Oryctolagus cuniculus: one gene and its partner. The protein of the gene in region 1 binds, or shares a complex with, the protein of each later gene. Links are inferred from orthologs where the notes say so. Each region holds a gene or a part of one and is shown on either strand. Other genes may lie near its edges. The genes, in order: ORC3 and ORC5.

The links.
Region 2: the proteins of ORC3 (region 1) and ORC5 are in contact, whole or in part, in a cryo-EM structure (PDB 7JPO), measured with the Homo sapiens proteins. The link is inferred for Oryctolagus cuniculus from reciprocal best matches to the Homo sapiens genes ORC3 and ORC5. Residues at the interface, in NP_036513.2 of Homo sapiens: Glu99, Val109, Met144, Lys145, Leu148, His178, Ser180, Met181, Asp182, Glu223, Asp232, Ile235, Ile236, Gln239, His240, Ala253, Thr254, Ser255, Pro256, Ile257, Ile258, Ile259, Arg261, His265, Ser269, Cys272, Ile273, Glu274, Leu275, Ser280; in NP_002544.1 of Homo sapiens: Asn62, Val64, Glu65, Phe67, Thr68, Arg70, Leu71, Gln75, Tyr129, Leu270, Arg271, Ser274, Ser275, Ser276, Gln277, Leu294, His297, Thr298, His299, Val300, Glu301, Leu302, Pro303, Tyr304, Tyr305, Ser306, Asp360, Tyr367, Arg373, Pro376.

Annotation. Positions count from the first base shown.
Region 1 is NC_091436.1:84,931,378-84,935,201, reverse strand, and holds part of ORC3 (origin recognition complex subunit 3), read left to right. Parts: intron 1-1,384; coding exon 1,385-1,518; intron 1,519-3,684; coding exon 3,685-3,824. UniProt on the Homo sapiens protein: Component of the origin recognition complex (ORC) that binds origins of replication. DNA-binding is ATP-dependent. The specific DNA sequences that define origins of replication have not been identified yet.
Region 2 is NC_091434.1:140,254,854-140,258,677, reverse strand, and holds part of ORC5 (origin recognition complex subunit 5), read right to left. Parts: intron 1,796-3,824; coding exon 1,684-1,795; intron 1-1,683. UniProt on the Homo sapiens protein: Component of the origin recognition complex (ORC) that binds origins of replication. DNA-binding is ATP-dependent. The specific DNA sequences that define origins of replication have not been identified yet.

The DNA of each region.
Region 1 (3,824 bases):
TGGCAGTGCTTAGGTTTTTACAAGAACATTTTATTTGTGGAAAAATGTCATCCCATGAGAATAACAGAGCATTAGGAATTGGTCTACCACAAATTCTGCCTCTGGGACAATGGCTGTAACTTTAATATATTACCTCTTAGGTTCATTCTATCTCTGTGACAATGGCTATAACTTTAATCTCTTTGGTTCTTCAATATTTGCTTTTGTGTAGTGGAACCATCTTGCTAGTACGTACTGTTAACTTAGTCCTATGAAGAATAATCACGTATTTTTTTAAAGAAAATCTGAGTTGTTCCATGTTTAGAGTTCTTGGGGAATTGGTACTCTGTAAGTATATTTAACAAACAGACAAATAAAAAGAAGTTCCATTCTACATTATGGCCTCTGGAGAAAATGTATAACCTAGGTGATTCAAGATAACTGCAATGTAAAACTTCAGCTTTATTTCATGATGCTGTGTAACCAGACAAGTTAGGGAAAAAATGAGGTGGTGACATTTTTCCAATTAACGTTTTTGCTACAGTCATCATGAGAGAAGTTTCATTTTGCTTCATATAGGAACTAATGCTTATTAATTCAGTCTACAATTTTAAATTTTCTGGGAATCAAACACTACTTACAGTTGATATCAGGAATCTTTAGAAGATTATATTTGGGCCAGGTGATACTTAAGGCTCATTGTTGTTGTTTATTTTGTGGGAGACACAGAGAGAGAAAGACACGAGCAGATAGAGCTTCCAACCACTGATTTACTTCACAAATGCACACAGTGGCTGGGGCCAAACCAAGACGGGGGGAATTCAGTCCAGGTCTCCCAATTACTTGAGCCATCACCATTGCCCCCAGGGTCTGTATTGGCAGAACACTGGAGTCAGGAGCCAGAGCTGTATATTGAACCCAGGTATTCCTCCAATGTGGAATGTGTATGCTAAACCAATGTCTTAACTAGGCCAAATGCCCACCCCTTAAGGTCCTTTTTAAGCCTGAAATTTCATAATAGCAGAGCAGCAAGTAGTGCTATTTTTATGCTTTCTAATTAAGAATACTAGGACTTCTTAAGCAAAACAAAATATAACTTTCTACTGGTAGAAAAATCAATTTTGAAAATTTTCTTCCCATTTTTCTTGTCATTCTTCCCAGCAAAAAATATAAATATTTTATATACACTATAAATTTTACTGCACCTTTTTCTTCTTGTTTATTATTCCCATGTTAGAATGATTCTGCTAGTAACTGTTGAAAGGAGTTTCTATTATATAGAAGAAATAAAAGAAACAATGTTACTGTGAAGTGTGAAGGGAAATATGTCAAATGTGGCACTGTAGCTTTGTTTGGGTGATAAAGCTTACTTTTTAACTCCTTCTTTCCATAATGGCTTAAAAAGAAGACAGAACCAAAAATTCCAAGCAAAAAGAGGACTACTTCTAGCCAATGGCATTCTCCTCCTGTTGTGCTTATCTTAAAAGATATGGAAAGCTTCACTACAAAAGTGCTCCAAGACTTCATACTAATGAGCAGGTATTTGGTTTGTCACCTGGGTTTTGTGCAAAATTCTTTTTTATTAAGAAAAAGTATTCCTTTTACCTTAAAAAGCATAATCTTCATTTTGAGTCCAACTGGACAAAGCTCAAAATGATACCAAATTTTTTCATTAAATGTTCAAATACATTTCAGATTTTTCATTTGCTTCTTAACTCAAGAACAGGAATCACAAACTTAGCCCATTTTTAATGAACGTGGTAAGGCAGTATAAAGTATAGTTTATTTCACCAAAGTCTGTTGTGCCTTAAATGGGATAAACTACTCCAGATGGAGATAATTTATTAGATCATTTTTTTTAAGATTTATTTATTTATTTGAAAGAGTTACACAGAGAGAGTAGGGGAGGCAGAGAGAGAGAGAGAGGTCTTCCGTCCGCTGGTTCACTCCCCAATTGGCTGTAATGGCCAGAGCTGCGCTGATCCGAAGCCAGGAGCCAGGAGCTTCTTCTGGGTCTCCCCTGTGGGTGCAGGGGCCCAAGGACTTGGGCCATCATCCACTGCTTTCCCAGGCCACAGCAGAGAGCTGGATTGCAAGTGAAGCAGCCAGGACGCGAACCCGCCCCGATATGGGATGCCGGTACTGCAGGCAGTGGCTTAACTTGCTGTGCCACAGCGCTGGCCCCAATTTACTACATCTTTATGATAACTAGGCAGTCTTAGAGGCTTTGAGTTGCACATAGCTTTACTAAGCAAGAATATTTTCCAAATAGCACTACCTTAGATTTATGTATTTCTAGTGAAAAACTGTATTTAATATATTTTGACTTTCTCTAAATGTCAACTTGGCTTAATACTTAACTCCATTTGCCTAAAACCATACTGTGTATAATATACTAACACACTTGAAATTTGTATTTTCATAGAATTTTTTTTGTCTTGACTTTAAGAGTTCTAGCTGCCAGGACTTTCCTTCATGCTAACACTGATGTGCCTACCATGCTGAGGAAGTCAACTACAAAAAATTACACTTTTTAGAGCTCAGGCTTCTGACTACTCTATCCATTAAAAGTAAAGACAAACTTAACAGGCAGAGAGTGAGGTACTTTACATCTATGAAGGTAGTACTGTGTATAGCTAAAACACTGAAAAGCAGTGGCTAACAGGAGAGAGTAATCAAAATCATTTAGTCATGATAGAGAGCTCTCTGTCTTGTAATAGTCCTCAAAGATAGTGCTGTTTTACCTCGTAGAAGTTATTTGTGTTTTTCTGGTAGTGTTAAAGTGTTCAGTTTGTTCAAGAATATGAGGAAGTGATATATCATTTTTAATGATGTCCATTAAGATGACTTTATATATGTGTAAAAAAGTTTTTTTTTTAAGATTTATTTTTTTATTTGAAAGGCAGAGTTACAGAGAGAGAGACATAGGAATATCTTCAGTTCGCTGGATCAGTACCTAAATGGCTACAACAGCCAGGACTGTGCTAAGCCAACACCAACAGCCTGGAACTCCATTCTGTCTCCATGGAGGTGGCAGGAAGCCAAGCACTTGGGCCACCCTCCACTGCTTTCCCAGGCACATTAACAGAAGGCTGGATCAGAAGTAAAGCATCCAGGACTCAACCCAGTGTTCATAGGGATGCCAGCTTTGTAGGTGGCACCTTAATCCACTGTGCTACAATGCCTACCCCAAGAAAAGTTTCCTAATCTTGGCTACTGTGACTGGATCACGAAGTGTCTATTAGAAATGCTTATAAATAGAATAAGTTGCCCTGAGTATTTAAGGAGCTCTATGTCACTGAATTATTGAAGCATAGGTTAGATGCCTAACTGTAAAGAAGATTGTAGGTATGACAGACTCTGAGGGAGAGGTTAGACTAAATGGTATCTAATATCTCTTCTAACACTTGAGATTATATAGCAGTAGTGGGGCATTTGATTTTTCTTGCCCTCTATGTTTTTATTTTTAAAATGAAAAGGAACCATTAATAGATTAATAGATTGAATTCAAAGCTAGAATGTCTTGGAAATAACTACTTCTATGTTACTTTAACAGAAGAAAATGAATGACCTAGAAAATTTTAGTATTTGGAATGATACTTGTTAGTGTCTGTGTGCAGTAAAGCTTGTCTTATCTTGTAGTACAGCATATTGAAATACGTTTACTAAAGAGATTTCACTTTTGTATCTTTCTTTGAAAACTAGTCAACATCTGCATGAATTTCCACTAATACTCATTTTTGGTATCGCCACATCTCCTATTATCATCCACCGGTTGCTTCCTCATGCAGTGTCATCTCTGTTGTGTATAGAGCTGTTCCAATCATTATCTTGCAAGGAGCACC
Region 2 (3,824 bases), on another chromosome or scaffold:
AAGCTCCTGACTCCTGATCTGCACAACTCTGGCTGCTGCGGCCATTGGGGGAGTGAACTAGCGGATGGAAGACCTTTCTCTTTGTTTCTCCCTCTCACTGTCTGTAACTCTACCTCTCAAATAAATAAATAAAATTAAATTAAAAAATTAAATCCTTTGATTCTGTGATTTTTCCCCCCATGGATGAGACGTTATTGAAAATAAGGATTCCCCTTTTCTATTTTGGGTAACTTAAAAAAAATCAATTAATTAGCTAGGACAGGAGGTGATACTTGCCTGTTGTTCTTGTGAAAATAGGCAAAAATGTGTTGATCTTAACAATGAATATTTACAAAAGATAAATCCAGAGGGGTAGTGGTAGTGAGGCCAGCGTCATGGGATGCTATTTTTTTCTTTTTTCTTTTTGACAGGCAGAGTGGACAGTGAGAGTGAGAGAGACAGAGAAAAAGGTCTTCCTTTTGCCATTGGTTCACCCCCCAATGGCCGCTGCGGCCAGCATGCTGCAGCCGGCACACCGCAATGATCCGAAGGCAGGAGCCAGGTGCTTCTCCTGGTCTCCCATGGGGTGCAGGGCCCAAGCACTTGGGCCATCCTCCACTGCACTCCCTGGCCACAGCAAAGAGCTGGACTGGAAGAGGAACAACCGGGACAGAGTCTGGCGCCCCGACCAGGACTGGAACCTGGGGTGCCAGTGCCGCAGGTGGAGGATTAGCCTATTGAGTTGCGGTGCCGGCTGATGCTATTTTTTTCTTTAATTTTGTTTAAGGAATACAACTTCATGCATTTAATATAAACAAATTTGGGAACATGGTGATTCTCCCCCCCCCCCACTTCCCTCCCACCTATTCTCCCACCTTTCTTCCTCCTCCCTCTCCCTTTACCATTCTTATTTTTTACTGAGATCAATTTTCAATTAATTTTATACTAAAAAGGTTAACCCCCTAAGTAGAGAGTTCACCGAATAGTATGAAGAAAAAAAAAAGCACAAAAACAAACAAGAATAATACTGTTCATCAACAAGGCAAGGGATGTTATTTTTTCATACACACTTCACAGTTATAATCTTTGAATCAGAAGTTTTACACTTGTATACTGACAACAGAGTAGTAATCTACAAAGCTATTTAGCAACACAAAGAGCTAATGTGTTCTTACAAAGACAGAATTAATCAAGATCTATGAAATCTAAGTTTAAATTCAACCCCCTAAAAAAGACATTTAAGAGTTAGTGGCTGGTACTACAAAAGTTACAAGAATGAAAAACAAGATTCACAAAATCAAAAGATATATTACACATGGTATTTTAACCCAATTTTATTATAAATAAATGTTTCAATATAATTTTAGTATGCTTCGTCATTATAGTCTACTTTAATCGTATGGATATCATAATTGCTGCATATTTTAATGTACCAACTAAAAAATGATAAAAATATGCTGTTAGCACAAAGATATAAAAGTTGCTCATTCAAAAAATTTCAGGACTTATACAAGAATAATTCCTCAAAGTTTCAAATTATAACTTCAAAAATATAGTACAGAAATATAAAGGACACTGTATTTGAAATTGGCAGTGTACCTTATCAGTTCAGAACACATCCCACTTTAAACACGCTAGCTTAATCTTTCAAACAACATTAAATCTACTGAATATCATTTGCCAAAACAATCTTTAAAAATTTACCTATGCTATAATCAGGGAAATACAAGACAAATGGTTCAAAGCATCCAGTATTTGGACGAAACTTTTCCCAAACAATTTCACTGAGAAATATAACAGTCACATTTCGGTCAGTCTGTAAAAGAAAAAAAAAAAAAAAGCTTTGCATTTAAAAGTATTAATCAAAGCAATAATTCCATTTACATTTTTCCTTTAAAAATTCCAGGAAGGGTGGTACTAATGGCATCTTACATGTTAAAGTGATCATTTTAAGTGTGTAACTGATCATACAGATAGGAATAAGTGTCAAAGGGATCATATAAATAAGATCAGTTATCTGCTAATAACAATATAATTAAAAAGGAGAGAACGATTCTACATGGAAAGCAGGCCACACAGCAGACTTAGAATGACAAATGCCCTAAACAGCACTCTGACCTCAGAATCAGCCCTTAAGATATTCTGATCTGGCTGAAAAGCCCATGAGAGCATTTCAGGAATGGAAAGCCAAGACACTGTGGCAAAAAAAATGACCTAAATCAAAGATCTCTGTGAGTGAGAGCCTTGGCAGCTCATGACAAGAGTCTCGGGTGATTGCTGACATCATAAATAAGAGTGTCAATTGTTAAATCAACAACAGGAGTCACTGTGCACTTATTCCCTATGTAGGACCTCTGTTCTCAATGAATTCTACTATCAGAATAACAGTAAAACTTGTCATCAAACAGTACTTTATACATTCTGTGTCTGTGTGGGTGCAAACTGTTGAAATCTTTACTTAGTATAGAGCTGGTCATCTGTATATAAAGATAATTAAAAATGAATCTTAATGAAGAATGGGATGGGAGAGGGAGTAGGAAATGGGATGGGAAGAGGGGTGGGAAGGAGAGTATGGGAGAAGAACCACTACTTTCTTAAAGCTGTACCTATGAAATTTGTATGTATTAAATACAAGCTTTCTAAAAAAATTTTTAAATTCCAGTGCAATTTTAACATAAAACACATCATTTGTATGTTATTTTAGAAAACCTAATCATCTACTTGCAAATATTCAATATATCTGTTCTCAAGGATGTTAAGATAGTCACATGAGATTTACTTTAGAAATTAAGAAAAACACTTACTTGAATAATTAAGACAAAACTTTTATGTAAATTCTCAAAAAAATCATAAGCTTTCATCAGTAAATTTAAAAAGGCAAAGCTTATCATTTCTCATCATTAAAAAAGCTTCAGCAACCCACAGAAAAGTTAATATGCAGTTAAAGGAAAATAGATATGCCATATCTATCCCCCATAACAGCGCATACTAGGAACATTAAAGGTTTTCCTTAAGGTTATGTTTACATCAATCGCTAAGTAAAACTGATGTTCAATAAACAATAAAAGCTCAAACTACGAGTATTATCATCTAGAACATCAACATTAAGCAAAACACTTATCTTTTGAAATATTCATATATGTAGAAATTACTATATCAACAAAAAATACTAAGAGAGCCTGTTATCATACTATAGCATGGCCATAATTGTCCTAAACAAGCTAGCTGACATTTTGTGTATTCATCTCTGCATTCTCTACACAAACTTTAATTTTCTCCATATTATTTTGGCATTCCTAGGCTAACAAAGCAGAAAGAAAGCTGTTTTGGTCAGCAGTGGATGACCCTAGAACCAGTCTTCCACATAAACTGTACTGTATATTTTTTAAAGATTTTTTTTTATGTATTTGACAGGTAGAGTTATAGACAGTGAGAGAGAGAGACAGAGAGAAAAGTCTTCCTTCCGTTGGTTCACCCCCCCAAATGGCCGCAACGGCCGGAGCTGTGCCGATCTGAAGCCAGGAGCCAGGTGGCCCAAGCACTTGGGCCATCCTCCATTGCCCTCCCGGGCCACAGCAGAGAGCTGGACTGGAAGAGGAGCAACTGAGACTAGAACCCGGCACCCATATGGGATGCCGGCACCACAGGCGGAGGAGGATTAACTTAATGCATCATGGTGCTGGCCCCTATACTGTATTTTGACACTGAGTGATTTACTGATTCCTTACCTGTATGATTTTCATTGCTTATTTAGTTAACAAAAAGATCTGAATACATAATTCCACAGAAAATTTAACATCTCTATGAGAGGAAAGGATTTTTATTTCCAAATGCTTTGTCTTACA